Astyanax mexicanus: one gene and its partners. The protein of the gene in region 2 interacts with the protein of the main gene of each other region in a pairwise test. Links are inferred from orthologs where the notes say so. Each region holds a gene or a part of one and is shown on either strand. Other genes may lie near its edges. The genes, in order: sec22a, dtx2, arnt2 and glyctk.

Region 1 (8,051 bases), on a different chromosome or scaffold from region 2:
TTAAATTCACTTACAAGGACACAAGTTTACATCTTATATTGAAAGAGTTGGGACTTAGGAAAACTCATTTTACAGAGAAACTTTGCTGCTGACTTCAGAAGGCTGTGCCTGAAATACGTGTAGTTTTCAAACTCTAAGTTTGGGCAAATAATATCTAAATACTTAAACCTGACACTACTCTAACAAATATAATCTTGCATTAGGAAAATAACCAAAATAATCGTCATGGTTATTTAGTTTTTTTTCTTTTTGTATATACTGTGTTTACTTTTTTTGTTTATTCTGTTAATGCCATTTTTCTTTTAATACTTATAAACCTAAAAATAACAAACCGGACTATGCGCAATAATATTAAACCAAGTGCAATAATAATGTGCAATACTTCTTTTGCTGGATCTACTGTTTTTTTGTATATTCTCCATTTTTGTTTATTTCCTTTCCTCTGGTCCTTCTGTGTATTATTTGTGTACTGTAATGATGCTGCTGGAGTTTAAATGTTCCTGGGATAATCTTTATATATACATCTATTAATCTATCCATCCACCCACCCAGTTATCCATCAATCAATCTCTCTATCATCCATCCATCCATCCATTCATCAATCAATCAATCAATCTCTTTCTCTATTATCCATCCATCCATCCATCTCAATATTCATCCATCCATATATCTATCCATCCATCATCTACCATCTATCCATCCATCTATCTAGATTATATTGATTTATATGTTGTAAATGGCAGTGTTGGCATTACTGGAAGATATTGCCAATGGCCAAATTTATTGAGAGTGTGTTTACTCTGATTATTGGGATTTCTTTGGCCCAAGATGCCTCTTATGGCATCTTATCTTCACCATTTTTCTAGTAAGAGTATTCCAAGGCCTGTTTATACTAATTAGCATATTATAATCTGCATAACTGAGGGCGGAGACAAGGAGGAGTGTTGTGTTCCTGCAGGTGCGCTCAATATGTCGTTGATTGTGATGTACTAAGAGAGAGTGCGTGGCATTCTGCTTACATATGGTTTGATACATCTGGAGTTTTATAAGCGTACGGTACTTGTACGCTATATTTTTGTAGAAATTTTACCCAAGTCTTAGTACATGAGGCCCCAGAATCTCAGAGTCAGCGGAACACTGTTGAATACAGTTTTTTTCTACACCCTTAAACGAGAACACACAACAGTGCATTGGGATGCATACAGATAGTAATGAATCCTTACTTGACATTGTACTGTCCAGTCTTGAGAGAGCAGCGGTCAGGGAACTGGCTGAGTTTTTTGGACAGACCCTTGAGGTGCTTCTTGGTCTCCTGCAGTCCTTTGTCCTGCTCATAGTCAGTGGAGGCAGAGAGAGGCAGGCCGTCCCTCACCCGCACCACTGAGGCAAACAGGACCATAGACATCTTACAGCAGGATCCTGCAGGAGTGTAGGAGAGCATTCCATTATTTCTGAGCATTTGAATGTAGTTGTCACCATAGAGTTAATTGGTAATCCAGAATCCAGAAATAAACTATTTGTTTGGGCAGTTTACTTGTTGGTAACAAAGCTGTTTAACCAGCTCTCGACTGCTATAGTGTATGCATTTGATTTTTTGATCATGCTTGGACATGCTGGTTATCCAGCTTGGCCATGTGGATCATGCTTGCAGACCATATTAAACATCAATGAGAACATCATATGAGAACATACACTTTGGCTGGTAAACTAAATGTAACCCTCTGTGGCATTAGTTTTTTTGGGAGGATAAAAGCTTGGGATTCCCTGTGAATATGTCAAATATATATTTTTGACTTTTGATAACAAACTGATCAACAGAATCAGATGTTTTACAGCAAGTGTTCTAGCTCTATAATGCTGCCCAAAAGAAAAAACAACTTAGTAAACACATTAAAAAAGGTATGAAATTGTGTTCGTTGCCTAAGGGCAAAACTCTGCCATAGAAGGTTAATCAGTTTGAGCTGGTCATGTTGTTTTCCTCAGCAGGAAACATAGACAACTAACTAGCATTAATTTACTGGATAAGCATGAGAAATGTATAGTATTTGTAGTATTGAATATTAATATATTTAATCTACTGCCAAGCAGTTTATCTAGCTAGCTAGTTCCTTAGTTAGTTAATTCACTGAATAAGCCTGATAAATTTACAACATTTGAAGTGATGATTATTAATATAATTTTTAATCTACCATCTAGTAGAGAGGGTGGGTTGTGTGTGTGTATTTTTGTTGTGTTTCTCTGTTATGATGATGTATGTTTCATATTATCTTTCACAATAAACAAATTAAGCATAATCTTCCATCCCACCATTTATCTGATAAATTTGCAGCATTTGAAATGTTGAATATTAATATATTTAATCTACTGCCTAGCAGCTTATACAGCTTGTTAGTTAGTTAATTGAACTAACTCACTGGGTAAGCCTGATAGATTTTTAGCATTTGTAGTGTTGAATATTAATATATTTTGCAAATCTACTGCCTAGCACCTTATCTAACTAGTTAGTTAGATAGCTGGCCTAATTCACTGGATAAGCCTAATACATTTACAGTATTTGAAGTTTTTAGTAATTTAATCTACTACCTGGGAATTTATCTAGCTAGTTAGTTAGTTAGTTAGTTAGTTACTTGGTTAATTGGTTAGTTAGTTAGTTAATTCACTGGATAAGCGTGATTAATTTACAGCATTTTACAGCAGTTTATCTAACTAGCTGATTAGTTAGTTAGTTAGTTAGATAGTGTGTAAGTAAATAAGTAAGTTGGTTAATCTAATTCAGTGGATAAGCCTGACAGATTTAAAGCATTTGCAGTGATAAATATTAGCATATTTTGCTAATCTACTGCATATCAGCTTATCTTACTAGTTAGTTAGCTAGTCTAATTCACTGGATAAAGCCTGTTAAACTTACAGCAATTGTAGTGTTGAATATTAATATATTCAATCTACTGTCTGGGAGTTTATCTAGCTAGATAGTTAGCTATCATTACTTGCTGTAAACTACACAGTCATCAAGCTGAACATCTCGAAATTAACTAACCTAGCACACCAAGCTGTTACAAACCAGAGCTAATTAACCTAATTAGCCTAATTAGCTAGCTATCTCTCCAGCATCTGGCAGCTGTTGCCCACATGAGATAAACAAACACAGGCTCTTTCAGATACACCTCTGTCTAACCTAAATCATGTAGTATAATGTGTGTGTCTACGGTCACTGTGTATAAACAGAGACTGTTGTTAGCTGGTTAGCTGCTTAGCTATAACTGTCTGCTGGGTGACAGCAGCTCAAACCTGAGCCCAGACTCTCACAAACAGGCCGAACCAGGACCAGAACCCGCCCCCGGCAGCAGCAGGCCCGCGTCCCGCACTGACGGTACTCACTTCGGCACCGGTAACGGCTGGAGTCCCGACTTTAGCATCATTCTGTCCGCTTGTTTGTGTCTGTCAGCTCCGCCGCGGGAGGACGCAGCCATACACCAGCGCTGACGTGTCTGAGCCAAGAGCATTATGGGTAAGAGGAGCAGCAGTAGCAGCATTAAGAGCGGCTCTGTCCCAAACAACACAACGCTCCCTACCTAGACAATATTCTGAGGCATATTCACAGTAGGCCTATATAGCATTTAAAATAACCCTTTTATATAAAAAAGTAAATAAAACATTACAATGATACAATAAAATGTAGTGGATTATATAATTATTTCATAAATATGTGATGGTTCAATTTAGGAAACTGTAAACATTTAGCATTGTTCTGACTAGCACCATAACCTGACACACACATGACGGATATTTTTTTAAAGACCAGCATATCTAGCTATATCTTAATAAAGGACAGTAAATTTAACATTACAGTGATGCAATGTAAATATTTAACACATAATAATAATTAATGAACATTTATGAATTTTTTTTTTTAAATATGAATAGAGTTTAAAAACTAACAGCTATCAGCTACAAAACTTTACACAAAAAGTCTAGATTTTCAAAAGACCAATATCATTAACTTTAAACAAAAATGCAATATATGCAATTTTATGTTTGTTCTACCTCAGTTCTTTTTTTGTGTTCAGTGAGAGAAATCTAATCTGTTTTGGGCTTGGACAAGTGCATTAAAGTGTGATATGATAAGCCTTTGATTTTCATGTTTTATAGAACTCCAAATACTTGTCTTATTTTTTTGTATTATAACTGGAACTGTAAATAATGAATACATCATCAGTGTTACATTGTTACAGTGTTAATACATTATCAGTGTTCTTCCAGACTTTTGTCATATCATTTGATTACAGTTGCAGTTATTTCCACCTCTGCAGCGCCCTCATAAGTTCAACTATGTTATAGGCGAAGATGACGTTTTTGTGTGCTTTGGTAAATGCACACTCACAATATGCAAATCAATCTATCAATAACCCCACCCCCCTGGAGATGTCCAACAATCTGCGTCTCACCCATAGACTGTATATAAGTATTGACAGAACGACAGTTATTGAAAATTATACCAAAATTAGAGAGGCGTTTTATGAGCGACATTATTAGGCGATAACGCACTGTAACCGAAGCTCTTCATGTATTACTCCGCCACATACAGGTAACCTAGCAACGATTACCAGCCAAATACAATCCAAATGCGATGTCATTAAACACCACTGGGGGGCGCTGGATTCCATAGGCACAGTGAAGGAACGCCATGTCTCCAATAGGGGGCGCAGGCAAAGACGCGGTGCCACACAAATAAATAAATCCAAATTTATTCAAAAATAGACATTATTACACACATTATTAGCCACTAATATCAGGCTAAGAGTTGTTGTTATTATTATATTAAAAGTGTATATATTTTCCAGTTAATATAGGGTATTTTAATCTGAATGTAAGGTGGACTCTTGTAATACTGCAGGTCTTACCGCTGGGGGGCGCCGAAGTAAACAAAACTTTAATTCTTAAAAAACATTTTCTTTCAGTCAAACGAGCGCTGGACCTCTAATCCACACAGATTTCCCTCCTAAAAAAATTTATTTGGGTGAGGGTAAAGCTCTTACGTTTAATTACAGTAACGTTACGCTTAGATTTCCACAATTGTGACTAAAATGGACGATAATGCAGAGCTTACAGCGCAGCTAAAGTAGTAATGGAACTATTTTAACTCGCGGAGTGTTTATAAACAAACCGATCGCATTTTCTCATCCGGTTTAATTCAAAATCTTTCAATAAACAGTGATAATGGAAATGTGGTATAATCGCAATAATACACTCAAGGTTCGTGCTATAACGTGTCATATTGGCACTGCTGTGCTGATCTTCGGCACTCGGCCTTTGTTATAGCACTCCCTCTGGTGTATTATTGCTTAAGTGAAGCCACTACATCTCTTACGCCCTCTGGTGGCTGGCTCCAGTACAACTTTTAACCCCGCCTATTTCCATTCAATTGAAGTTTTATAGGAGTAATTCCGTGATATTTAAAGGGTTGTAGCATGTGGTGATTGATTGACAGCTGAGGGCAAGTTGATTGATAGGTCGCCTGAGAGTGTGAACGCGCACCGCCACTGTGGCTCTTTCTGACATTTGGATTTTACTTTAAAAATGAGATATCTGAAGTAAAGCAATGGCTTATTCTGCAGTTAACTTATGTAACAGACCCTCAGGCAAACGTTCTCTGCAGTTTTTTCCGTATGTGGATAATTTCCCTCCATCAATTAATTTGTATTCATACTTTGTTCTTTGTTCTTGTGTATTTTTTTTATTTAGGTTAGGTTTTTAACCTAGCATTAACTACTTAACGCTAGCTAACTAGTTAACTAGAGTAGCCAACTCAGGTTAGCAGTTAAATAACAAGTTTTTTGGTGAAAATGCCAGTTTTGGTGAACGGTGAAGGCACTGGCCAGTGCCACGCCAGTTCTGGCTCCAATTTGCCTCTACTGCGTGAGCGCACACAAGATGGCATGTTCCATTTCGGCCATATTTTGGCTTCAAAATGCCATAATGAGAGTGAATGGGGACGCCCTGTCCATATTTATATACAGGCTATGGTCTCACTGCTATTAGAGGCACACTGCTCAGCCCAATCATCTCTCCCTTCTGCCCCGCCCTGTCCCTAAACCCATACATCACCCAATGCCCCTCCCAAACTACTCCTCTGATTTGTAGGCATTTTTCAAATTTGAGCTGAGGGTGGAGTCAGCTAGAACAGGTGGTTTAGTTACTCTTTGAAATATTTGTAACATTTGTAAAACATCAGAGCCCTCATTATTGGACTGTGGAGTGGCTGATGGCCCCCCACAATAGAAGCTGACCTGTCTCGTGCTCTCTCGGCTGGGTGCAATTAAATACTCACAGCAATGTTCAAAGCATCTAGTGCAAAGTCTCTATTGGAGTAGAGGCTTTTACTGCAAAAAAAACATGAGGCATTTGTTTGATAAATACCACTTATTTCAGAAGAAACACTGGATGAGAAAATGTCCACAAAAATTTGGACATGCTGTGGACCACTTTGGAAGGAAAAGATGTTTTTTTCTCTCTTCTGTTGGCCTGGATCCTCAAGCAAGAGTTTGATTATTATCTTACTTACTGGTGACATCTGGTACTTGAGTTTTCTACAGCAGGCTGTTTCCTAAAGAAGCAGATGATATCATTATAGCAAATTAAATTACTGAAGTATTTACTCATGTGGTAGACGCTGTAACGACTTGTTTGCATTGCTTTTTGTGTGTGTTTTAGCTTGATTTATTATGCTTGACAGGCTTTTGAAATAGATTTTATCATCCTTAGGCTGCATTATAGTGAGAGAAGGAGAGAATGAGAGATAATCATTGATTATGTAACCATTGATATGCTCTTTTCTGAAATATTTTTACTTAATCAGTTTGCAATATGTTTTAATGAGAATAAAATAGTTCAATACAAACTGTGAGTTAACATAAGGACTTACAGTTAATACAATGTAAAAGTAAATGTAAATGTAAATCCTGAGTTTGAAACATCTGCTCTGTATTCTAGGGCTGATCAGTAGAACTGAATGTCCTTCTCTTGGACAAGTCCATTTAAGAGCATAAAGTTAAATGCATTTAGAATTTCTACCCACAGTACAGAGACTGACCGATAAATGTAGGACAGCATACAAATGTACTTTTCAGAAGAAGTGTGTCAGATGGTAAAACAGTGATATATTTGCTTATAGAGACAGTGAAGGGATCCAGGGGTCATAGCAGGCACATCATATTCATAGAGCTGTGATCAGCAGGTTCAAATCCTGGTCATGCAGCTTGCCATCAGCTGCCGGAGCCCTGAGAGAGCACAATTGGCCTTGTTCTATCCCCTCATCTCTCCTAGGGTGATGTTGATCAGCACAAGGCGTCTGTGAGCTGATGTATCAGAACTAAGTCGCTGCGCTTTCCTCCAAGCACGCTGTTATGCTACTCAGCAATGCTGCATTAGCAGCAGATGGAAAAGAGGCAGTGGCTGATTTTACATGTATCGGAATATTTTTTGGAATTTGGGAGAAATATTGTCTGTAGTTTATAAAATAAAACAACAATTTTCATTTTACTTAAACATAAACCTATAAATAGCAAAATCAGAGAAACTGATTCAGATCATATGCATTGTGCAGCCGTGTTTTAAGAGAGAAACTCTTAGTTTCCTCTTAATGTCATAGAAAGTCTGGTGGTTCGTTGTGAATCTGTATAATCTGACCCACAGTGTCAACAAAGAAAAACTGTAAGACAGTTTAAATGAAGCAGATGGATATAAAATCAATAAGCAGACTATAATAAACACACTATGTGTGTTTTCCCCATAGAACCAGTTTCTCTATTCATAATTTCAATTTTCTGTTGATTTTTAATCTCACAAAACCCTAGATGAATTTGAAGAAGACCAGACAAAGCCAACGCAGACATGCTCACACCACATAACCCCCTAGAGAAGAATAGAGCAGGACAAGCAGGCAAGTCGTACCTCTTTCATCACAAAACTCAATTAAATACAGAAAACTGTGATTTCCCAATTGTAGCCGTTACATCTCTGTGGAACGGAGAAGAAAAGGAGTTTATATGGAT
Region 2 (8,870 bases):
TAAAACATGACTGGGGCACCAGACTCACAGATTTAATGGAAAGGAAAATTATTAAAGACTTCATGGAAAATTCAGCATTGTGATTTCTGATGTGTATTAGCTCAGTTTCTTTTTGAGGGTCTTAACGGTCACTATAATAATATTAATATCAGGGAAAAGAAGACATAAGTACTGACATAATATCAATGTTTGTGAAATAATAACTAAAGTACATATGTTTTTTTTTTATAATTCTTTGAGCTGGAATGTAATAGTTACAAGTCAGAAAAAACAGAGATATCACAAATAAACTAAATAAGATTAAGCATTAGACATTTATTTAAGTGAATGGAAATTACAACACACTCCCTAATTTAACTGAGTTGAAGTAATGGTATCGTTTGAAAATACCTAACAATAACCTCAGCTGAGATTGAACTTTACATTACATTTCAATGCATTAGCATTTTTTATGTTTAAAAACTTGACACTTAGCAACATATAATTTGCTCATTATTACTTTAAATAGACTAAATTGGACTAATTTTACTAGACAATAACAATTGTCACCTGCCATACATGCTGCATCCAATAAACAAACTTGAAACAAACTTCTTAAGTCTTGAGAGAGTTATGAAGCACTACTTATAGATTTTTGTTAAACATTCAGTGGTGTACAAGAAACAGTGATGAGCCAACAGATAAATGTATCAACCCTGTTAGTCAGCAAATTCTTGATGGCAGTGGAAACAATATGGATAAAAGACAAGGAAAAATGTAACCGTTACTAATAGTCTATGTTACAGTGTTTAATGAACAGCATAGTCTTTTGCATGATGTATGTGTGATTATATGAGGTAGTGGTTAACACACTCCCCACAAGGGTAAATAACTAAAATGTGCAGAACAGCGGTCCCATGACCAAGCCTGAGAACCATCATCAATAATGATTTTAAGCCCTTTAACCTTCATCTTACCACAACTTTAATATTGATTTTGTTATACAGCTCTGGAAAGAAATTAAGAGACCACTTCATTTTCTGAATAAGTTTCTCAGTTTGCTATTTATAGGTATATGTTTGAGTAAAATGAACATTGTTGTTTTATTCTATAAACTACGGACAATATTTCTCCCAAATTCCAAATAAAAATATTGTCATTTAGAGCATTTATTTGCAGACATGGGACATGAGACATGGCTGAAATAACAAAAAAAGATACCTCAAACAATGCAAAGAAACCAGTTTTAAGAGTTCAAAAATCTATATTTGATGGAATTTATTTTTTTTATTTGCAGTTTGATGCATCTTGGTATGTTCTCCTAGACCTGTCTTACACACTGCTTTTGGATAACCTTATGCCACTGGTGCAAAAATACAAGCAGTTCAGCTTGGTTTGATGGCTTGTGATCATCCATCTTCCTCTTGATTATATTTCAGAGGTTTTCAATTTGGTAAAATCAAAGAACTTGTCATTTTAAGTGGTCTCTTATTTGTCCAGAGCTGTAGTTTGCAAGACAGGGGAAAAATAGTCTTTAGCCACCCAACACCTGATCCAACAAGTGAGCTTAGTAGAAACCTATTATTGAGTTAAACGTGGCTTGTTAAAGCCGATGAACCAGTGAACCAGTAAAATAAACAGGGCAGTGGGTCTCAAGGACCAGTGGTAAAGAAACACTGCTTTAGACGTTCTCCAAAGTCTTAGAGTTGGGGACCACTAGTTTAAATTAACAAACATGACAACACAAACACACAGAACCACATTGTATGTTTGCGAGCTCCTGACTTACCAGTGTCTTGCCGAAACTGTTTTAGGCTCGGGATGTCGATGATATAGGCTGCCAGGCTGGGGTCGGTCTGGCCTAGGGAGATGCTAGTGGCGGCGGGCCCACCTGCCCTGGCCCCCCGCTGCTGCTGAAGGCATTGCTCGATGTAGCAGCTCACCTGGCCACTGTAAGGCCGCCAATAACCTAGGTCGTCCTGCCATTCCCACACCACCACCATGGGCTGCGCCTGGCCGGGTATACCAGAGGCCGAGGCGGTGGAGGAGGAGGAGAAGAGCGACGGCCCGTTCCTGGAGCCATTCACGCCGGAGGCAGAAAAGCCAGAAGCCGTGGCCATCCTAGTTAGTTAGTTAGTTAGTTAGCTAACCTGGCTTGCTAGGAGGACCTCGGCGTACTTATTTATTTAGTTAACTTAATAGCTAGGTTAGCTGAAACACACACACATACACAAATGGTGGTGTCACTTGCTAGCTAGATAACTAACCCCAGCGACAGCGAGCTAGCCTAAACTGCACTAGGGTAACCTAGCTAGCCAGCTAACTAACTAAGCTAAGCTACATAGACTGCTGCCTCTGAGCTAACTAGCTAGGTTAGCTAGTTAGTTAACTGAAAACACACACACAAATGTTAGTGTCACTTGCTAGCTAATCCCTGCGATAGCAAGCTAGCATAAACTACAGCTAAGCAGTACATTGACTAACTGTTAAACTAGGTTAACTAACTAATTACATAAACTGCTGCTGCTGTTGGTTAGGTAGCTAGTAAATACTTGTCAACCAAACGTATTAAGTCTCTCCATAGGGGCTGACTGGCGTACAAGCTAAGCTAACTAGCTAGCTAGCTACCAAGTTCGACGAATTGAACTGATAACCTAGCTACCGCTAACTGCCTAACTAAAACCGGGCTCGTTCGTCCGGTTGCTAAGCAAAACCAACAACTAGCTTAGCGAGCTACAAACAAATAACTTAAATTAACCCTAGCTATTTAACTTAAGCTGAAACGAGTCGTGCGAGTCTGCATCTTCATCCGCCAGCTGATAGCTAGCTACTTAGCTAGCATAGCTATCTGTCTAGCTTCGGCTGTCTAGCTTACAGCTCGTTACTACGGCTCCGATGTTGTGAAGCTAACGCTAAGCCATTTTTAAAGCTCCAGGAGGCCGAACAGCGAATAAACGGTTAAAACTAAGCTAAGCCAGGATGCAGTAAAACAAACCACGTCCTTGTCTCTGGTAGTGTCGTCTTTATCGTCTTCTAAAACGCCTTAATTCTTCCACTGAACGAAGCCCCCCTCTCACCCATCCGGCTGCTCGCCCTGCCGTCTCTGTGCAGAGTCCAGCGACCAAACACAACAAACCAACGGAAACCAAAACCACCAGCCAACCGCAGGGTCCCCTCCACTGCTCTCATCACAGAAAACGACACAGTAAACTGGATGGAATTCAGCTTAACCCGTAAAACAGTTACCTGTTACTACGTGTCCAGTATTTGTTTGATGCATTGAGCTATTTAGTGTAAAGCTGTATGAATGAGTATAAATGTATGAGTCCGTTATTTGAGCTTTGAAAAATATTGTAGCTAAGAAAGTAGAGCGTTAATACAATTAAGAGTCAGTTTGTTTATATAATATTTTTAAAGGCACTCATGTTCAGCTTCTATTAAAGCTATAAATAAATCAAGATTAAATAAATGTATCAAAATATCTATTAATAACAAAAACTATCAGATTTTTACATTTTGGTTTCTCAATTCAAACGCTGCAAGACTTTTATTTTGAAACATTATCCTGACAGTTTTTGTGTCTGACAAAAAAATACTCATCACATTTGCATTTATTAAATGTAAAATAAATTAAATCGAATCAAATAATGGTCCTACAAATCTAGAAACAGTGTTATTTAAAAAAGAAAAAAAAATCCAACATATAGCTATATAACTTATGTTAACTTTATCTCAGATGTACAGCAGCTTGGAGTGTTTTGCTACCAAGTCTGTTTTCTAGATGACAGATAATTCTACAGATAGATGATAAACATTTGTAAACTATATCTTTTTTTATGTCTTTTTAGCTGAAGTAGTCTCTAGTTTGATACAGTACTTTGTGTAGAGAATGTACAGAATGTTCTTTCATGTGTTTCTTAGTCTTAACCAGCAGGTGGAGACAGATGAATGATTTTAATGGACAGGATGCAAATACAAATGCATGAGTATATCTGCAGTTTACCATAATCCTTAAAATGACCTTAAATTAAAGTAAATATTTTAAGCACTGAGAGGCAAAAACAAATCTGTTAAATAAATAAAGCGTAGCTTGTATTATACCATCGAACCATGAAAGCACTACAACACTCAAAAGTAATGAACGCAAGGCAACACATTTTATTTGAAAGGCCTAAATGGCATTAAGGTACAGCATATAAATACTGGTAATTCCAGAGACAGTCCTTACAGAATAACATTATACCATTCTTTCCTTTACATACAATACATTCATGATGTTGTCTCCATCAAATTTTATCTTACTTGTCCTCCACGTTCTATGAACGTCGGAGCGACTTACACCACTACAATAATGATAAAGTCTTTCATTGGAATATAAGTTAGTGCTATTGTGTTAGGATGCTCCACTGTAGGACCATGAACCCCTGAAGCGAAAAGAAGAAGAAGAAGAAGAAGAAAAAAAATAAAATAAAAAACGGAATATATCAGTAGCTAACTGTTTTAGTGTTATCAGTCATGGCATTCAGCACTTGATGCATTGTGCCGATTTGTTTACATTCCCTGCATATACATGTTTCTTTACTTTTATTTAAATAAATAAATAAATAATAATACAAACATTTAGCTAGGCATAAGAACCAGTTACTACGAGAGTAGTACGCATGTGTACGTCCTCAGCACCAGTCGAGGTTTTGCATCCTATGGATAATGAATCTTGTCTGGGAATAATGTTTCCCAACAGAATCCATCACTTGTGTCCTCAGTGTGGGTGTCAGTCAACCATTATTGTTTCAAAGGCCTTTAAAAAGAAGGCAACCCTACACTGGCAGTCACTTTGAATAGCTCAAATGAGCTTGATAATGGTTTTTGATGTGTTTCCATGTGTTTCAGGGGATCTATCACTTCTCTCACTTAAAGTAATACTTAAACAAAAAATCTCCTTTACAACTGATCTGAATCTTGTTAAACCACAAAATGCTTGGTAGCCCAGTTGTGCTTCTTTAGTTTAGAACTGGAACTATGAGGTTTACATTGCTAACCTAAAACAGGGAAAATCAATATTCACCCACAATTTTCCAATAAAAATGCACGCTCACACACGTCGCTCAACCCCACATATAAATGGAATTTCCTGCCAGCAAGTTATTCACCTTATTCAAGCGTTAAAACGATATGTTCCTCATATATAGAAATGTTTTAGAATTTCTTTTTTCCAGATTTTTTAAATGTGTTGTAACAGACAAATATTATAAGCTCTTATGTGTAACTGAGCATTTGCTTATGACTGCCAGTGTATGATGCAAAGCATTGTTCACCAAACATAAAAAAATAAAATAAAAATAAAACAAAATGAAAACACTCCTTTTACAAGCAGCCTCTCCAGAAAAATAAAGCACTGACAAACTGGGAAGTAACGATTCCAGGTTACTGCACAGCAAATTCACGTCTCAGCACTTGCCGTCCTGAAACTGTAATGAGAAACTCCTTGTACTGTTTGTCGTCACGCTCAAAGAGTTTGTGATTGCCAGCATACACAAAGGTCCCCCGTCACACTGCGAGATCAACCACAGCACTCCAAAAACAGCTGATTTTTATAACGGATATCAGTCTGACCACGTCCTCCCCGCAGGATTCCTCTTCCTCTTCTGAGGGGCTTTGAGGTGGTCCACTAGTATTTTACCTTTCCTGGAACTTGGACATTCACTCCGCTGTAGTCCACCATGTACATGGGCCATTGCTACAGGAAGAGAACAACAGAGTATCAGACACTTAAACAAAAATCTAACTAGTTTCATATAATTAATGAATAAATAAATCCATATACATCAACATTTTATGTTAAACATTTTATTTAGAGGGCTGAAATTAGCCAGCACAATGATCTTACCTGTGCCATTGTACTCAAGCCAAGCTTACTTGTTAATTCTGTCCATATACAGAAGTAGCTAGCTGCTTTGCAATAAATAGCACTAAATGCTATGCATATTTTTGATCCAATCATGTAGTTTCACCTATAAGGTGTTATACTGATTGTGTGGAACTACAGGTACAATAATAATAATAATATAAAAAATAAAATGTTACTGATACTTAGAGCATGTAACTCTTTGAAGGAAGGTGATGGAGAAAATCTGGTGGGTGAACTACTAACATCACTGACTTATAATGTAGAATTAAATATTCTGGTACAAGCAGGGCTGTTTACTGGCTGTTTTCCATACCATCACTGGAATCTGGTTGGCTGGAGCAGCAGGGTCGGCTCCTGAGGGAGCGGTCGCTTGACTGCTTTCCAGGACCCGCTTGCGTTTACGTCTATTGACTGACACTTCCTTCCCTTCTGCAGGAAAATGAGCAAAATAACATAGCATGAATTTAAAGTTTTGTGCAATGGTTTGTTGATTTTTGAAGTGAAAACAAAAAGGATAGAGATATAAATAGGATCTATAGAGAATCTGTTAAGTGAACAATTACATTTGTAAAGAAAAATAATAATTACATGCAATTTGACTAGGTGCATCCAAAAACAAACAAGGCTGTATACAGGAGGGATTCCAATATTTGATAAATAATCAAATCAAGTAAGGTAAACCTACCTGTATTGCTGGTCTGGGGACAAAGCTGTACAAAAGGCCTAAACAGAAAAAAGTTTTTTTTTAGATGTATGAAATGTATCAAATGTACTACACACATGCTTTCACCTAAACAAGACATTAAAGCAGCTTAGTCCAATAAGTACTGTATAGTGTAGTAGCAAAAACAGATGATTTTCCCAAATGTTTGGCAACTGTTTAAAATGAACGACAAAAACATAATTAAGGACACCTTTCAATACACTTTTAATAATAATAAAAAAAAAAACAATCAATAAAAAACAAATATAACCATTGTTGATAAAGTTATTCCTTTAATTTATTTTTTAGAAATTAACCTATTCATAAAACATAATATGTAGAGTATTTCTGTTCAAACTACTGGCCAAACCAAAACCAATTGAATTAAATGTAAATGTAGTTGTTTTTATGTTATATTTGTATATTTATTGTTTTTATACAAAGTGATCATGATCATATGGCAAAACATTAGTATGAAACTTTATAGCAGTGTGGAGGACTTGTTACCCAACCCAGTCCCTTCTAGCTGTCTCTCAGTCAGAAGTCTGAATTAGGGACGATATCATTATGATATAATTATTTTAATATTAACTGTATAAATAATAAATTTTTTGGTATATTGCATCTTTACATACAAACACTGAAAAACTACATATTGCACTATGAAGATCACATGAAATGCAGCACATTTAGAATAAAAATCTTAAATTGAATTGTGCATCAGAATTTTTTTTGTATGGATCATGATATAATATTGCTATTGCCCACATAATCCTTGCTTCTAAACATTATCCAAATAGCTTAAACAATTGCTGACTTACTGTAATGGGGTTTTGATATTGATGGTGATGTCATCTCGAGCCTGAAGGATCTTCTCTAATCGAACTATGTCATAGGTGTTGGGGTTCCTGAAGTGGATATCATCTGGAAGTCCACAAACCTCCAGTGATTCCGGACTGGCCCGAATCAGCTTGTATGGAACAACAACAGATCGATCCAGGCCTAGAGCTTCTCCTGAATACAAGATGATGGAAGTAATGGAATAAATGGGACAGGAACTTGCAACTTTCTGATGAAAAGGCCAATGCTTAGACAGTTGCATCATACTAGAGGTCATAATAAAGATTAGGGGTACACTGGGCACTTCACAATATGTTGCCCACGATAACGATGATATCACAATACTGTGCGATTCTGCAATATTTGGTATATAGTAACACAATTCCCTACGATACCTTTCAGCAAGAGGATAAAATACTCTTAAATAAGTAAATACCACAAAATTATGGAGTTGTTTCAGTTTTAAACAATTTGACAACCACTCTGAATTAATGTACAACAAAGTGGCCAGCTTAGCTTGCTTGTGTCTCTTTAACACACATAGACACACACATACACTTTCAAGTGTAGCATTATTCCGAACTTGTAAAACTGTTTTTTTGCTACACTAAAATCTTTTTGAACTGTGTAACATAAGCTTACTGAAAAATAAAAAAATAAAACTGAAATACCAAATCAAAAATCGATATTTGACACCATGTATCAATAACACATCTCAGATGGAACCAATAAGATATACTTCCATAAGGCAAATATTACTTCTAAGTTATAAGAGCATATACTGTGTAAAAAAGATGAATAATAGAATCTCCACTGACCGTATTTCTTGTTAAACAGTTCTTTCACTTGTTCCCGTAAAATGACTTTCTCTCCCATGCGACTGACCTCTTCTTCATCTATTAAAAAATGAATAAAAGACGCTATCAGTGCTTCACAATACTGAGCTATAGAATTTCTATACAGAATGAAAAGAGAATGAGGTCATGAATCAGAGGTCAGATAAAAATCTCACCAGTTATTGAGGCATATGCCTTCTTTAATAAGGTGATTCTTCGTGGTGCTAACAAAGAGAACAAATGTAGAAAACCATATTCATTATATTCTTAACAGTGAACTGTTATAATACACATAGAAAAGAGATCATGGTACATACCTGGTTTGGGGATAAGTCCTTGGAAAGGCCTGTAAAGAGAAAAAAGGCAGTGAAGCTATATTCATTCTGTGTGGTGAGAACACAATTCCCTCAGTAGGTGTTGTTCATTATGTCTGGGTCAAGATTCATAATGTGAGACATTAAGTGGAATCGGATGAGGTAATTATCCCACAACTCACTTCTCATTTATAATGTTTAATATATTCGAACAGCAGTTAAGATTTACGGTCCAAAGTCCCTTATATATTTCATGCTGGAGAGACTCTCTGCTTGCTTTTACAGCTAAA
Region 3 (8,104 bases), on a different chromosome or scaffold from region 2:
GCTTTTGGATTCAAGCAGTTCAGCTTGGTTTCCAGAGGTTTGCAATTTGATAAAATCAAAGAAACTCGTCGTTTTTAAGTGGCCTCTTATTTTTTTCCAGGGCTGTATATGCACGCTCACCATGATAAATAAATATGACCATTCCAGCACTCCCCCTCCAACTGTAAACAAACAGTAAATGTGTTTCCTCAGTTTTAGGCCAAGACAGACTGAAGCAGGCAGTTCTTAACTAAACGAATACTCCAGACAGGCAGGCAGGCCTAAGACCACCTTCCACCAGGAATCAACAGGCACAGCCAGCAAGCCCCGCTAATCCCAAGCTCCGGCTTCTATAGGCACAAAGCAAAAACCAGCCACCAGCTGGACCATAATGGAGATCCGAGCAGAGCCAAGCAGAGCGGCGCAGAGCTGATCACGTAGTGCATTGTGGTAAATGTATTCAGACCCTGATTTGCATTAGAGGACTTTAGAGAGCAGCTCGCACTGCAGAGCTGAAGTGCATAAAGTGTGGGTGGGCAATACAATGATATTTTAACATATTGTGATACATTTTGTAATCATGAAACACAATAAGTGTGTGCCATTTCATATCATACGCATAGGCAATGATATCGCCCAAAATCCTGACATGATGAAAAAAATCTATATTGTGACATTGCGATAGGTTTCTTAAGAAAAAGCAGCTTGTTCTGTAATTATTTTGATATTTAATGTATTTATTTTGAATTGTTTGTTTCAGGTTTACATGCACTAAATACAGCTCTGTAAAAAAAAATAATAAGAGACCACTTCAGTTTTTGAATCAGTTTCTCTGATTTTTCTATTTATAGGTATATGTTTGAGTAGACAACCTTTCTCCCAAATTCCAAATAAAAATATTATAAATTTAGTGCATTTTTTTTACAGAAAATGAGAAAGCGTTCAGACCTCAAATAACACAAATAAAACAAGTTTAATTTAATAAAGTTTTAAGAATACAGAAATCAATATTTGTTGGAACAACCCTGGTTTTTAATTACAGATTTTATGCATCTTGGCATCATGTTCTCCTCCACCAGTCTTGCACACTGCTTTTGGATAACTTTATGCTGCTTTACTCCTGGTGCAAAAATTCAAGCAGTTCAGCTTGGTTTGATGGCTTGGGATCATCCATCTTCCTCTTGATTATTTTCCAGAGGTTTTCAATTTGGTAAAATTAAAGAAAATCTTTAATTTTAAGTGGCCTCTTATTTTTTCCAGAGCTGTGTGTTGTATTTGTAGTGTATGTAGAATATGAAGTTTTGTGGTAGATATTTTGTTTTTGTTACACTGTTTTCATTTACACAAAATTGTTTTGATGTAGTAGAATATTCCTGAAAATAATAAAAAATCAATGTTTTGCCATATTGCCAAGAATATAGTCATCACAAACATACCCAAATAATATTGTGATTTTATTCTACTCTATTCATACACAATTTATTGTGACACAGAAATCTTGTGATAATGACCACATTGTGTCTTGAAAACTGTCTATTATTTCCTGTGCACTTTTAAAGACATTTTTTTTATATACATTTATTTTTGGACCACATTGCCTACTCCTAGAACACAATACACTTTAACAAGCATATAGTGTATATTGTCAGTGCTTAAAAGTACACCATGTGACTGTATATTTGATTACAGCAAAGTGTAGCAAACTGTAATAAACGTTACTGGAATATGCATATAAATCTGTGTAACTACGGCATTTTGTGTGCATGTCAAAATCTCATAAATACTGTCCATAATGAAAATATCTTTACATATCGAGACCCAATCGTTTTACTTTATTTCTTTATTGAGTTTGACGATTTAGCTAAACCAACAAGTTTGACCATGCTGGTTCAGCAATGAGTCCAAACATGACAAACATGTTCAAGTTCTTCGACCACCAAGATCAACATGTTTTAGCCTTAACCAGACCAATCCAGACAACTATAAATATGATGAAGCTTGGGCTTTCTGGTTCATTAGCATAATCCATGTTACCAAGCTAGACAACAAGCATGACCAATCTGGATGACCAGTAAAAACAGCAAAACCAGCAAAAACTGGTTGAGCAACACGAGCAACATTACCAATTTGAAGAACCAGTATAACTAAGCTTGATCACCAAGTCCAAGCTATATGACCAGCATAAACAGGGTGGGCAACCAGCATGACCAAGCTTGACAATGAATGCAGGCAGGTTCTTCAAAAAAAAACAAGCTGGTTGCCCATTTAGACTAAAGTTGGGTGACCAGCATTACCAGCAATACCAACCAAGTCCAAAGTGGTTGACCACCAATACCTAATCATGACTAAAATAAAACACCTTCGACTGACCAGCATAGCCAACATGACCAAGCTAGCTGACCATCAAGACCACGTTAATCAAATAGTATGACCAAGCTTGGCAAATATGACCAAGCAGGTCAACCAACATTACCAGCAAGCCAAGATGGCTAATAGAACACCCAGACCAATATGACCAAGCTGGTGGACCAACAAAACCATGCTGGTTGCCCATCAAGATCATGACCTAGCAGTACAACTTGACTACCAGACCCAACATGATCAACCAGCATGGTCTTGTTTGGCAACCAACATGGTCATGTTGGATCTGGTAGTTGTGAGCCTCAAAACCAACATGCCCATGCTCGTTGCCCAACAAGACCAACATGATGACCATGCTGGATGACCACCAAGACCAAAATGACCATGTTATAACCAACCATTACCAAAATCAACTGCAACATATGGTCGACAAGCATCAACAGCTTGGCAAACATCAAACCCATCACACACCATTATAATTCAGACCTGGTTAACCATCTAGCCAAGCTTACCAGTACAGGGAACGTTCTCCTCTGGATAATCAGCTTACCAACCATTAAAGATCATCTCAGAGCCTGTGAGAGCAGTGATCAGCTGAAGCTGGTGTTAGTGTGGATGTTAAAGCAGGGCTGGCACAGCGAGGAAGAGGAGGTGATGAAGGATCAGGAGCAGGAGGAGAAACAGGAGGAGGAGGAGGAGGAGGAGGGGTGATGCTCCCTCTTCACCCACCGATCCTTTCTTTTGTTACCGGGAAAACGTCACTCGCGCAGGAGCACCGGAGCCAGTCTCCCCCGATCAAACCCTCGATAATCAAAGATCAGACTTACCGGAGGGGTTCACCGCGGCGGGGGTCGCCATGCTCCGCTGCTCGCCGGAGAAAAACGGACACAACAATAATAACAGCAGCGGCGGCGGCGTCGGTAAGCCCGGGGATCTGGACGGTGGTGACGCACGCAGCGAGTGGCGAGCTCCGGGCCAGCAGCTCGAGCCGCCCGATCGCGGGGCGGAGGGTGTAGGAGGGGCGGGCGGGTGTTTACCGCGGGCTGTGTGGGTTGATGGCCGTGCCGCCCTGCTGTACGGAGCCCTGGCTCTGCTGCTGCGGAGCTTCGCTACAGAAAAAATAACGCAAGATGTCTGAAAGGTGCGGAAACACCGCGAGACTTCAGCCTGCATACATTACCGCGCGCCCTGCTGGGCATGCGCTCATTACACACAAGCGCGCGCGCGCAGCTCCGCGCGGGACAGCTATAGTGCAGCTTTTAGAGAATGTAAGAAAGAACAGTTAAATACATTTTTAATCAATTTACTAATTAATACAGTTCAAAACACAAAAATAAGATTAGGTAACGGGTTTGGTGTAGGTTTGAATGTGTTAAAAATATATAAATATATCTAAAATCACTCAATCAGATTTTTTTTGTTTAAGTACAAATATATTAACACAATCGTGTTTGGATCACATTTCTTTTATTTACTTATGAAAACATGTTTGATATATGTTTTAATTTGATAAAATATTTTTATCTAAATAAAAATATATATGTTTAGTAGCACAAAATATATATTTAGCAAAAATATTTTATTTTATTTTACAAAGATCTACTATTTATATACTTAGCCCCACTATTATAGCTTAGCAGCACTACTACAATGCTGATTGATTTACTTACAAAAATATATCAAATTTTAATATATTTTAAAATTAAATTAATTTGAAAAAAAACACATATGCACACATATTAATTAATTAATAAAACAAATTCTAAAGAAAAAAAATGTTTGCTCACAAACAATTATTGTTTTTTAACAAAGCAAAAAACAAGAAAAATTAATTCTGTGTTGAAAAAAGTGCATAGTCAAAAATTGTTAATTTACTTCTGAAAATGAACATGCATTATATATTTAGTAAGCAAAAGCCAAAATTCGCCAATAATGTTAGATTAAATTTATTTTACATAGATATATGATTTATTTTCTAAGCACTACTTAAATGATTTTTAGAGCACAAATCTTTCATTCACTTACAAAAATCTATCAAATTATTTTTAATTATAAAATGATAAATAAATACTCGCATATATAGGTTTATATTAATATATAAAGTATATAAATAAATTTTTAGTGCAACATTTAGAGCACAGTTGCCATTTCTTTTTTTTTTTACAATTTGGAATTTTAAAGGTTGAAATAAGCAAATTTAAAGTAAAACAAAATCTTTATTTACAAAGCAAACACTTGAATTATTTTGGTGATAGTTGTAAAAACCATACTTATTCATTTTCTAATAAAAAATGATGGCCAATTCACTGTCATTTGCAACTTTAGAGAACTTTAAATAATATTATTAATTTAATTAGCAGTATGTGTTAAATTCATTTATTGCGAAATTGTTATTTATTTATAAAACGGCATGTTTTTAATAAAAATAAATTATTTTCTACAAACAATTATAATTTACTTAGTAAGTAAAATATTTTATATGTGCACGTGTTTATATTCTGCTCATTTTTATTTTCTCTGTAAATTTTTGTTTTTATTTTATTTACTCAGCATACTGTATATGTTATTGACATGTAACTCAGATTCAAGCTGTCTTGTCAGTCCAGACTTTGAAAGTCTGCCCACAATGAACTCTATTACACACACTAAAGACTCCACCAACACTAGACTAGACCTCCTGGACATTGCTGATCATGTGACGTTTCAGCGTTCTAACTCACCAAGCTTCTAATTACACACACCTGGTCCTATTAGTATAAATACCCCCCTGTTTCTGTTTCTTTGGCTTTGTGGCCCAGTATTAAATCTAGTTCTATTTCTTCTACTGTGTGGTTCATTTGTTTATTGCACTTATGTTTCAGACTCAGTTCTCTATTTCTTACTCCTCTGACTATCCCTGTAAGTTAGTTTTCTTTATTAATAAACTTTGTGTTTGGTTAATTACCCCAAAACTTAACCTTAAACTCTACACAAACCTAAAACTTACCTTTTTAAATCTAAATCTTAAATCTAGTCCTGGTCTTGGTCCTAATAATAACATTAACCACTGTAGAGAATAAGCAGATAGTTTGTTACCAATTTTAAAATGTACATTCATTCTACCATTTATGGTGCTAAACTTTAAAGCAGAGTTTTAAACTCTTAAACTCCACTTTAGGCTCATCAAGTTCAGACAGAAGAGGGCTCTTTTGGATTTGGAGGCCAAGGACACCTGATCCAAGACAATTTAAACTGTATTTCCACAGGGCTTTCCTCATTAATCTGCTGCTGTAATCCAGTCAGATGTATTCCATGAATAGACCCTTATTGAGGTCATTATCCTACAGAATCCACAGGCGCTCTTTTAGTCTGCTTTTAGTTACTTCCAGCGAGTTTAGCAGAGCATCTGCGTGTGTGTGATGTTTAATACGCCACATCACAGAAAGAGGAAAGGGCTTCTGATGGTGTAAAAAACTCATTGAACCCAAAATTCTATAAATGACTGAAATGTTTGTCTGACCAGCTTCTGTACCACAGTCCTGCTCTGTGCTTATTACAGAGTCTGCTGTTTGTTCCAGGCTTGTGGTCAGCTCTATATAAACTGAAACATCTCACTGGCTGCCATTCCCCGTTATGCCCCAGTGACCTTCAAAGTGGAAATTTTAATGTGTGCTTTATAATACAACCTCAAAGCCAAAGCAGGAATCATTATAATAAATGCAAAACTAAGTGTTTCTGTAACATTTACTTCATATTTTTTTGGATTGCAGACTAAAGTATAGACCAAAGATATGTTGTGTTTTTTTTCTGGTGAACTTGATAATATTTGTTAATATATATATATATAAAAAACTAATATTTTTTTAAGCATTTAGGTGCTCTTATCTGGGGTGATGTTAACTAACTGTGGTGTCTAAGGCTGGTAACTCTGGTGAACTTATCCAGTGCAACAGAGGTAACTCTTGTTCTATTCTTCCTTCCCTCTGGTGTTCCTGATGAGAGCCAGTTTTATCATAAAGTTTCTGATGGTCTTTTTGACTGCGCTCGAGCATACGTTCCAAAGTTGTTGAAATGTTTCGGATTGACTGACCCTCACTTCTTAAAGTCTTAACGTTTTTTTTGCCGTAATCTAAATTAGAATATTACTTCAATAGAGCTATTTACTGTATACCAGTAACTCTACCTCTTTACAACTCTACAACTGATGCTGTCAAACATTAAACACGTTAAGAGACAAGAAATTCAAGTCATCAACTCTTGATAAGTTCAGCACAGCTGTTAACTGAATGCTATTCCAGCCAATATGCACAAAGCTGTCATCTAAGCAAGGGGTGCTATTGTGAAGAATCTAAAATATAAAACATGTTTGTTTACAAACATAATATCATAGTTTGGATATATTTTAAAATAATGAAAAAACCTTAATATATGACTGAAAAGTTATGATGTAAGACAATATTCCTAATATACATTTTGAATGAGATTTGCCTATTTGTTATTTCTCAGGTGGCATGCGGCTTAGTGGTTATCATGTCTGCCTTCCAGCACTTGGGCCCTGGGTTCAAGTCCCTATCTGGGTGGAGTTTCATCTTTTCCTCGTTTCTACATGTTTCCAAAGACACTATCAGTCAAATTGGATACTCTGAATTGCCCAGAAAATGGATATTCTTAATTTTATTCCCTATTTTATTAGTACTTTGCTTTAGATAAGATAATGTCAGATATCTATATTTTTGTGTTAAAAATATAAAACAACAAAGGAGAAAGTAAAGTGTGTGAACTAATTTGAGATTTAATCTGAAGAAGAGGCTTTTCAGCTGAATATGGTTTGTGGTTGTGTTGGTGCTTATATATAAATATAGTTCTGGGAAAAAAAAGAGACCACTTAAAAATGATGAGTTTCTTTGATTTTATCAAATTGAAAACCTCTGGAATATAATCAAGAGGAAGATGGATGATCACAAGCCATCAAACCAAACTGAACTGCTTGATTGTTTTTGCACCAGGAGTAAAGGCATAAAGTTATCCAAAAGCAGTGTGTAAGACTGGTGGAGGAGATCATGCCAAGATGCATGAAAACTGTGATTAAAACCAGGGTTATTGCAACAAATATTGATTTCTGAACTCTTAAAACTTTATAAATATATATATATTTTTATTTCTACTATTTCTCAGTTTCTGCAAATTAATTCTGTAAATGACAATATTTTTATTTGGAATTTGGGAGAAATGTTGTCCATAGTTTATAGAATAAAACAACTCAACTCTTTTTACTCAAACATATACCTATAAATAGAAAGTCTCTGAAGTGGTCTCTTATTTTTTTCCATAGCTATGTATATTGTACAATCTATGTAATGTTAAAAAGATATTAAAACAATGTTGCAAAAGTCAACTTTGATTATTATTTCAAAATCAAAACATAATGCAACATGGAATTGACTTTAATATGATATTAATTCAGCTGTGAATGACATTTTAAAATGTTGAAATGCTGGCTGGATGTATATAACTGTATTTACTTCTTATCTTATGTAATCCATGTAACAAATAATTAAGTCTTAAAATGAGTTATTTGCAAAACAAGGCTCTTTCCACTATTAATTCTGTACTTTTAGCTCCTCTACATCCAATTCTGCCACGCCTTCATTGGATTGTTCACAGTAAAAGCCTTAATGTTGCATTAATTCCTACATAGCTGTTCAGAACAGGCTTAATGGAATGTAACTCTGGAGGAGAAACTTGCTCTGTGTAGCAGAGCTAATTTAACAGCGATGGTTTTAGT
Region 4 (8,075 bases), on a different chromosome or scaffold from region 2:
CCGCCGCCATCCCCAGCACAGCTTTCCCGCAGCCCACCAGGTGCAGATTATTACTGAGCCTGAAACTGCGTCCGTCCACGAGCAGCTCGTCCCCGCGGCGCTGCAGCCCCCTGCGGACCACGCTGTCCGGCTGCACCCCCTCCACCGCCGCCGCGAACACCACCCTCGCTCGCTCCTCCAGAGACGACATCCTCCTGACCCGGGCAGCGGCCGGTCCTCCTGCCCACAGGGGGCGCCAGTGATGAACAGAGCGGGAGAGGCTTAGCACTCGAGCCATGGACCAATCAGATCATCCACACCGGAACAGCAGAGGAGCCACCGAACACCTGGAATAAAAGAGGGATTAAAGCGTCACATTAATGTTAAAAGTTGGGGGCGCAAAAAAACTCGCTAGTTCAAATGCCGTTCATGCATCTTGCCAACGGCTGTCGGAGTCCTGAGAGTGCACAATTGGTCTTGCTCTCTCTCAGTGGGTACAGTACAGTAGATGGCGCTCTTTCCCCTCATCACTCCTAGGGTGATGTGGATCAGCACAAGGCTGCGTCTGTGAGCTGATGTATCAGAACCGAGTCACTGCGTTTTCCTCCGAGTGTTAGCGCTGTGATGCTACTCGGTGCTACATCAGCAGCTCAAAAAGAGGCAGAGTCTGACTTTACATGTGTCGGAGGAGGCGTGTGCTAGTCTTCTTAACCCTCCTGGTGTTGGAGAATCACTAGTGATTGCTAGGGGGAGTTCTAAAGAGTGGGTTGGGTAATTTGCCTTGTAAATTGGGAAGAAAATGGGATAAAATTAGAAATAAAAATATGTACATTGATCTTGAGCTTCATTTTTCTCCACAAGGAGTAACTGAAGAAAAAAAAAACAACACTTGAAAAGGTGAAAAATTAAGCTTGAGAACGATATGTTGCTCTGCACACACAACTTTTGACAAAAATTCGTACTGCATATTATACCACAGTTAGTTCCGACCCTGCAATGTGATTGGCTGAGAGGCGTTCTATGAGTTGTCGTTATCAGCCGGTAATGCACTGTAACCGAAGCTCTCTACGTATTACTCCGCCACATACAGGTAACCTAGCAACGATGCAGCGCTTACAAACCAAACAGCACTACAGCTACAAACAGAGCAACTATTTTAACTGATGGAGTTTTTATAACCAAACATATTTTCTCCTCTTGTTTAACTCTAAATCTTTTGATAAACAGCGATAATGGAACTGTGGTATAATCACAATAATGCACTCGAGTTTTGTGCTATACAGCAGGGCCAATATTACATGTTATAGCACTACCTCACATGTATTATTGCTTAATTATATCCCATGGTAAAAAAAAAAAACATCTGTACACAATAAAGCAAATGCTGAACTTCATGACTGGTGTTATATAATCAGAGAGCGTAAAAACATAAATATATACAATTGAAACTGAAATTGAAATAAACATATGAGTTTCTGACTTATGAGTCATCATGAAATGATCTTACTTACCAGCACAGCCTAGAATACAACACACACACACACCAGCACCAAAAACAAGTTAATCTATGTGCCTCTTCTTGAACCCCATTCCTCCAAACCTGTGTACTGTGTGAGTAATGATTAACTACAGCTGTCCATAGGGCAAAGAGGACAGTCTGGTCCTGTCTGGTCCAGTTCTGTTCTGTAATTTTAGAAAGAAGCCTAAAAGCACTTTTTGTAACAAAGTTTCAGATGTAAAAACTTCATCTTAACTTCTGAGATGAAAGAAAATATAGTATTTTACCCACAGCTGCTGATCTGGAAGAGAAATCAGAGGGTCAGCAGAAGATCATCAGGAAAAAACTCTGCAGAAATCCTGAGATTATCCAGTAAATCCTAAATACGAAGCTTGTTAGAAGATTTGGGTGAAAAGGGGAGTGTAGAACTGTAGAACTGAAGCGATTCAAAGAGTCGATTCACTGATTTCAAACAATTTGGGAGCAGGGAGTCTAATTCAAAGCACTGAACTCGATTCCAAACAACATCTCTATTATATCTCGTAAATCTGAGTGTATCTTAGATATGTAGGAGATTTGGGTACAGAGGGCTGGGCGCGATTCAAAAGAGTAGATTCACTTATTCCAAAAAGTGATTCGTAATATATATATTTTTTTGTTAACCTAGCTACTTTATGTTCTTTTAGCCTTTACTTTCGTCATATTATAATAGTTATATATTATACATATTATATACAGGACCAGTCAAAAGTTTGGATACGCCTTCTTATTCAATTCAATTTATTTTTTATTTTTGTCTTATTTTTCTACATTGTGAATATGAATAGTTCTACAATTCTACAATGTGAATAGTGATCCAGGCTGTGAACACACACAGAATCACATAGGAATTTAAACGTTTTAAACTAACAAAAATACTCTTATCTGGGGAGCTGGGAACTTGCGATTTCTGAGGCGACCCTGATGGGTGCCAGTTCCATCATTATAACATTTATTTCTTAAAATCATTTTTTTTTCTTTATTACTTGAGAAGTTCTTGCTTATCATAACATGAGATATTAGAACATTACTCAAATATTCACTATTCACTGTATACCTGTAACTCTACCTCTTCACTACTTTACTTTAACTGATGCTCTCAAACACTTTATTAAGAGACAAGAAATTCAAGTAATTAACTCTTGATGAGTTCAGCACAGCTGTTAACTGAAAGCCTGAATTTTAGGTGATTCTACCTCATAAAGCTAACTGAGAAAATTCAGCCAAAGAAGGAGAAGAATATAAAATATAAAATATATTCTGGTTTGTTTAGCACTTTTTTAAAACTAAATAATTCCATAAGTTTTTCATCATAGTTTGGATGCTTTTAGTATTAATCTACAATGCAGAACATTCTTAAATAACAATAATAGAGAAACACTTAATTCAAGGAGTGTACAAACTTTTACTGGTACTGTATATATTATATAACGTTTATTTTAGGAATCGACTCTTTAAATCGACTCACTAAAGCATCGGATCCGGGAATGAACAGAACTAGGAGTGGCTCTGCTGTAATTAGTAACAGAGCTAAACACAATATACTCACTCATCTGCGCCATCAGTGTGTAGCCTTTCCCTCGTTTACTGGTGATTTCTAAAGCTATTACTGTCCAATAAACACTGATATTAAAGTAAATACCCCAGCAATACCGAGAACACTATGTAAACAACCACACTTCCGGAGGATTTGCGGTTAATTTCAAAATAAAAGTCTTTATATTCTGAAAGTGATGCGTTGTCGGGTGTATGGCTTCAAAACAGTTTATGTAACTAAAATATCTTGAAGAATTCAATAATTCATTATTCAATAATTGATTAACCCCACATGTAACCACAAAGTCATTTATTTAAACAAAAAAAAAAACAGTTTTAGAGCTGCTTAACGTTGGTTAAAAAAAGCTATTTACATTTTATGTACAGTATCTTAATATATGTACAGTATCTTTAATTCTTTATTTTTTATAAATTTTAATATTTTAAGAAATATCTAGCTAGATATTGTTCCAAAAAAGCTGATTACGATGTGTTCATCCCCTTCTGAAAACATTCTGCACATATAGGCTATCTTTACAGATAAAAATTGACGTAAAGTAAAGATCATACATTTTGTATGTGTTTTTCTTTTTAAACTTTTTTGAACTTTATTTTATGTATGTAATCTCTTAATAAATAAAAAACACTGCACCCATTTTAAATTATAGGAAGGACTTTTTTTGTTGTTTTGAATTAGATTGGGTTTTTTTGTTAATGTAAATGTTTTATGGTTCTTTGTTTTTATTTAAATACTAAAAAAATATATATTGGACGTCCTTTATAATGGTGTGTTTTTGGAAATCACTAAATGAAAAGAAAAACAAATATACATTTTGGAGAATAAAGATGAAGGTACTTAGATGTGTGCACATATTGCTATTCTAGAGGAATTAAAGTGAAAAAAAGCAAAATACCTTAGACAGTAGAAAGAAAGAGAGCTTCTACAAAGGAGAATACCAACTTAAGTGTGTTTTCTGGGTGTGTTTAAACCACCAGAGTTCTGTATGGGTGCATATGGGGCAACTGAGCAAAATGTAATAAAAATAAGCTTTTAATTATTTTTTTATACTGACAAATGTTCTCATTTCTTTAACACAGAACAATATATAAAAAAACATTTTTGCATACATACTTGTTAAGCTTTTAAATTTAGAGCTCTGTCTGTATCTCCAGCATCAGATCACTAACTAGTCACAGTAGCTCACAGTAGCAGTAATGCTGCACCTTTACTGAAAAAAAAAAACAGTTTACTGTAGAAAATTAAAAAAATACAGGTAGGTTTTATTTCCTTTTTTAGCGAAATACTTTATTCAGATGTCTAAAACTAAAGGAACATTCTGGAAAAGTAGTTAATGTATATTGTTAATTAGAGTTTTTAGCTCTTTAGCTCCATTCACTCCTGTACATTTTGGTCTCCCTCGCGGGCGCCCTCTAGCGGTGGGCAGTGTTTTCTGATATAACGGCGGAGACAGTAAGTGGGCAGTGTCTCCATAAACCAGCTCTGATAACTTTTCCACTTGTAGTTACTTAAACTGGGCAGCAGATGGTAATATTACATAACATACTAAACATACAGCTTTATTCAGATATTATACCGTGTACAGCATTTTCAGAAAAAGAAAATAATTACACAAATGAAATCAAATGAATTAAATCAGATTTATTTACAGTCTCATAACATTAGTATTGGGTACAGGTGAGTGAAAAACAGTTGCAAAGTCCCTTTCAGTAGTAAAAACACAATAATATAAAAACAAAAAAATATAAATATACACATATAACTTATACATACACATGATTGCAATGTTTTAAAATACAGATGTTTACATTACTATTTAATAGGAGTAATGAAACTTCCAAGAAAAGAGAGAAATCCCCCTGGAGTCAGCAGCAATGCAGGCGACTGTACCATCCTGTACATGACATCATCATTCCTGGGTAATCAGAGACCCCCTGAGAGAGAGAGAGAGAGAGAGAGAGAGAGAGAGAGAGAGAGAGAGAGAGATCGTAGACATTTTTAGAAGCACTGTTACTATTTAAACAATGCAGGTGGAAGGAGTGAAAATAGACTGTTGGCAGGGTGTAAGATAGCAATGAACATCACAATGCAACTTGCGCAGGATGTCAGACTGTTGCTCTATTAACTAATTTAGTGACTTCTGAAGACTTTGAATTAATTGCACTAGATTTTATTTAGAGGTTTCAGAGTAAAAAGGGGGTTGAATACTTTTACACATCACACTTTTTTTAGAAATTTTATTTTGATTAAAATTTTGAAAACCATGCATTATATTTGTTCCACTTCACAATTATGTGCTACTTTGTGTTGCTATATCACTTAAAATCTAAAAATAAAATACATTTAAGTTTGTGGATGTTTAAGTTCAAGGGGTATGAACACTTTTGCAAGCCACTGTACAACATTTTCCATTAAAATCCTTTTTTTTTCACTTGTTCTTTGTGAAATACAGTAGGTTGTTTATGTAGTTGTATATGGATGATGCACGTGAAACTCTTCCTCAACCTCCATTATCTGCAGGAGCTAGTAAAAGAAAATATTCAGAATCAGGAAAAGCTTTGTGTCTATGCCAACCCGTGAATTAGTATTCAAGGCCCTTCCCACCTCGGCTCAGGCCCGCCCACAGGCAGAGCTGAAACCGAGCAGCGACGCCGTCTCATCAAATAAGAGCTAAATAACAGTGCTAGGAACAGCATGCAGTTCATTCCTGTGTTATTTGTGCGAATAACACATCAGTGTTTATATGCTTTACCCAGTAATTCAGAGCTAAGAAACAAATGGTGAGAATTAGTCTATGGAGGAAAAACACCAGCAGCCAAGTACAATTGAGATAGGTAGGTGTATGATTAGAACAGTTCTGTTTACACTAGTTAAAAGTGGATTTTTACTTTCTGGACCTGGACTACCCACCTCTTTGTGTAACTACAGGTTTAAATAGGATCTCCGGTGGATTTGGTGTTTTACAGAGACTCTAAGACTAGGTCAGTGGCTGAACTGAACTTAGCAGGGCATTATTACACATGTTGTAAAGTAACATATGACATTGTAAAGATTGTTATTAATGTAAAAAAATCTTTATTTTAAAAGGTTTCAAACTGGTGTCCTTCTCGCTGCTTCCTGGTGTCGCAGGGCTGTTATCCAATCAGTGGCTATATGTTTGCATGTATGAATATTGATGAGTAAGAGTCGAAATCCTATCGTCATATAGCATTCATTTATAGACCACAACTAGACATTTTAAAATTAAGGAAAAAACAATGGAATGAGACCTTTAATATTATTACATTCATAGGTACCATTAAACGTGACTATTTATTGCTCCACAAGGGATCCACTATTATTATGAGCCAAATTACAGTTTTGCTAAAAGTGTGAAACTCCTGTAGTCCTTTATTTGCTGTTGTGAAGTTCTGACTGTACCCTGCTTTCTTGTTTAGTCATGGATAATTGATGTACACTGCTTTATTCGCGGGTGGCTTTGGCGAGCAGATGGAGCGAGGTCACATTGCTGGCTGGCATTTCCATTTCAGAGTACCAGTGTCCCCTTCCTCACCTTCCTCACCCTCCCTCACCATCCTGCTTTCCCTCCTCCATCGTTCTTTCTCTTCTCTGGCCCTCACGGCGAGCTCGCGCTCTTTCTGTACTCCTTTAAAGCTGAATGTCAGAGATCGGCCAGCGATGGCCAGAGGAGCAGAGCGCTGTATCTCATGATTAAAGGCGAAATGAGGCGAAGTGGAGAGGGTGTTCCCTATCAATGACTTCTTCGCCTAAAGTTTCACAAAGGCTTTAAAAAGGAGACATTTTACTGTATTTTTTGCACTATAAGGCACAACGGATAATAAGGCACACTATCAATAAATATTTATTTTCTGGTCTATTTTTTATATTTATAAGGAGCACCGGATTATAAGGTGCACTGATGATTTTGGGGAAAATTAAAGGATCTTAAGTGCACCTTAAAGTGCAAAAAATACGATATACTGAACTCGCTTTTTGTGTGATTTTGTATTTCCACTTGGGTCTCGACTTCCCCTATAAACGCTCAACAAAAAAATCCATCTATCCATTTTCTGAGAATCAGCTGAAACAGTTTGGTGTCAGGAATCATTTGCTTCTATAAGCCGTTTGGATGCTCCTCCCTTAATTTTTAATTCCTTTAATTTTAGCTGCATTGAAAATGCTCTGTTTGTAGCTGCGCTGTTTGGCTTGTAAGCGCTGCATCATTGCTAGGTTACCTGTAGGGGGCGGAGTAATATATGGAGAGCTTCGGTTACAGTGCATTATCGGCTGATAGCGGTACTTATGGAATTACAGAGTCAGAACTAACTGTGGTATAATTGTGCTTTAATCAAACAGCAAATAAAATTGCAGGCCACTATGTGGTGCTACATGGAGCTGAGAAAACCCTGGTCTACATGCTTTCATTATTCTCCCTCTCTCTCTCTTTCTTTCTTTTTCTCTCCATGAGACGATTTAGCTCCCGTTCACCATGAATGACTAAGATGTATCTCCTCCCTGTGTTCAATTAGTAGGGATATGAGGGAATAATGATAACTGGAAAGGATGGAAACAGAATTAGCTGCTGCTGGTGCTTCGTCATACTCACATTAACATTTATCATGGGCTTTCTCTTTATGGTACTGAGGCTCTCGTTATTCCATTAGCCTACAGCAAAACGGAGAGAAATTGGACGAGCTCATAATGCTATCCCATACGCCAGTGCCCCTCTTATTGTCTTTGTGCTTTAAAGATTCCAGAGCCCCTGGGTGTGATCTGTTATAATAAACACATATTATGCAGGACATTCAGTCTGCATTAACGTCCAACATAAACGCTTTATTAAGACAATGCTGTGGATTTCCAGAGCTGGACCCATATGTTTCATAGTATGGGGTGTGATTCACACAAATTTGAAGTCATACATAAAATATTAAATAGTAAATGTATTTACTATACCATAAAAATGTAAAGTTTTACAAATGAAATGTAAAATGTACTGATGAT

The links.
Region 1: the proteins of dtx2 (region 2) and sec22a interact in binary tests that used the Homo sapiens proteins (3 or more experiments, as listed by UniProt). The two-hybrid records come from large-scale screens. The link is inferred for Astyanax mexicanus from reciprocal best matches to the Homo sapiens genes DTX2 and SEC22A.
Region 3: the proteins of dtx2 (region 2) and arnt2 interact in binary tests that used the Homo sapiens proteins (3 or more experiments, as listed by UniProt). The link is inferred for Astyanax mexicanus from reciprocal best matches to the Homo sapiens genes DTX2 and ARNT2.
Region 4: the proteins of dtx2 (region 2) and glyctk interact in binary tests that used the Homo sapiens proteins (3 or more experiments, as listed by UniProt). The two-hybrid records come from large-scale screens. The link is inferred for Astyanax mexicanus from reciprocal best matches to the Homo sapiens genes DTX2 and GLYCTK.

The regions. Positions count from the first base shown.
Region 1 is NC_064418.1:8,436,380-8,444,430, forward strand, and holds the start of sec22a (vesicle-trafficking protein SEC22a), read right to left. Parts: upstream 3,509-8,051; 5' UTR 3,379-3,508; intron 1,420-3,378; 5' UTR 1,406-1,419; coding exon 1,224-1,405; intron 1-1,223. UniProt on the Homo sapiens protein: May be involved in vesicle transport between the ER and the Golgi complex.
Region 2 is NC_064408.1:27,941,773-27,950,642, reverse strand, and holds the start of dtx2 (probable E3 ubiquitin-protein ligase DTX2), read right to left. Parts: upstream 3,318-8,870; 5' UTR 2,100-3,317; coding exon 1,769-2,099; intron 1-1,768. Other genes in the region: gtf2ird1 (general transcription factor II-I repeat domain-containing protein 1), read right to left, coding at 5,648-5,716, 6,201-6,316, 6,573-6,610, 7,412-7,604, 8,249-8,326, 8,443-8,490, 8,584-8,612. UniProt on the Homo sapiens protein: Regulator of Notch signaling, a signaling pathway involved in cell-cell communications that regulates a broad spectrum of cell-fate determinations.
Region 3 is NC_064423.1:10,678,707-10,686,810, reverse strand, and holds the start of arnt2 (aryl hydrocarbon receptor nuclear translocator 2), read right to left. Parts: upstream 3,488-8,104; 5' UTR 3,199-3,487; coding exon 3,168-3,198; intron 2,960-3,167; exon of another isoform or gene 2,853-2,959; intron 1-2,852. UniProt on the Homo sapiens protein: Transcription factor that plays a role in the development of the hypothalamo-pituitary axis, postnatal brain growth, and visual and renal function. Specifically recognizes the xenobiotic response element (XRE).
Region 4 is NC_064412.1:3,279,146-3,287,220, reverse strand, and holds the start of glyctk (glycerate kinase), read right to left. Parts: upstream 3,202-8,075; 5' UTR 3,066-3,201; intron 2,756-3,065; exon of another isoform or gene 1,857-2,755; 5' UTR 1,765-1,856; intron 1,736-1,764; exon of another isoform or gene 1,491-1,735; intron 327-1,490; 5' UTR 278-326; coding exon 1-277.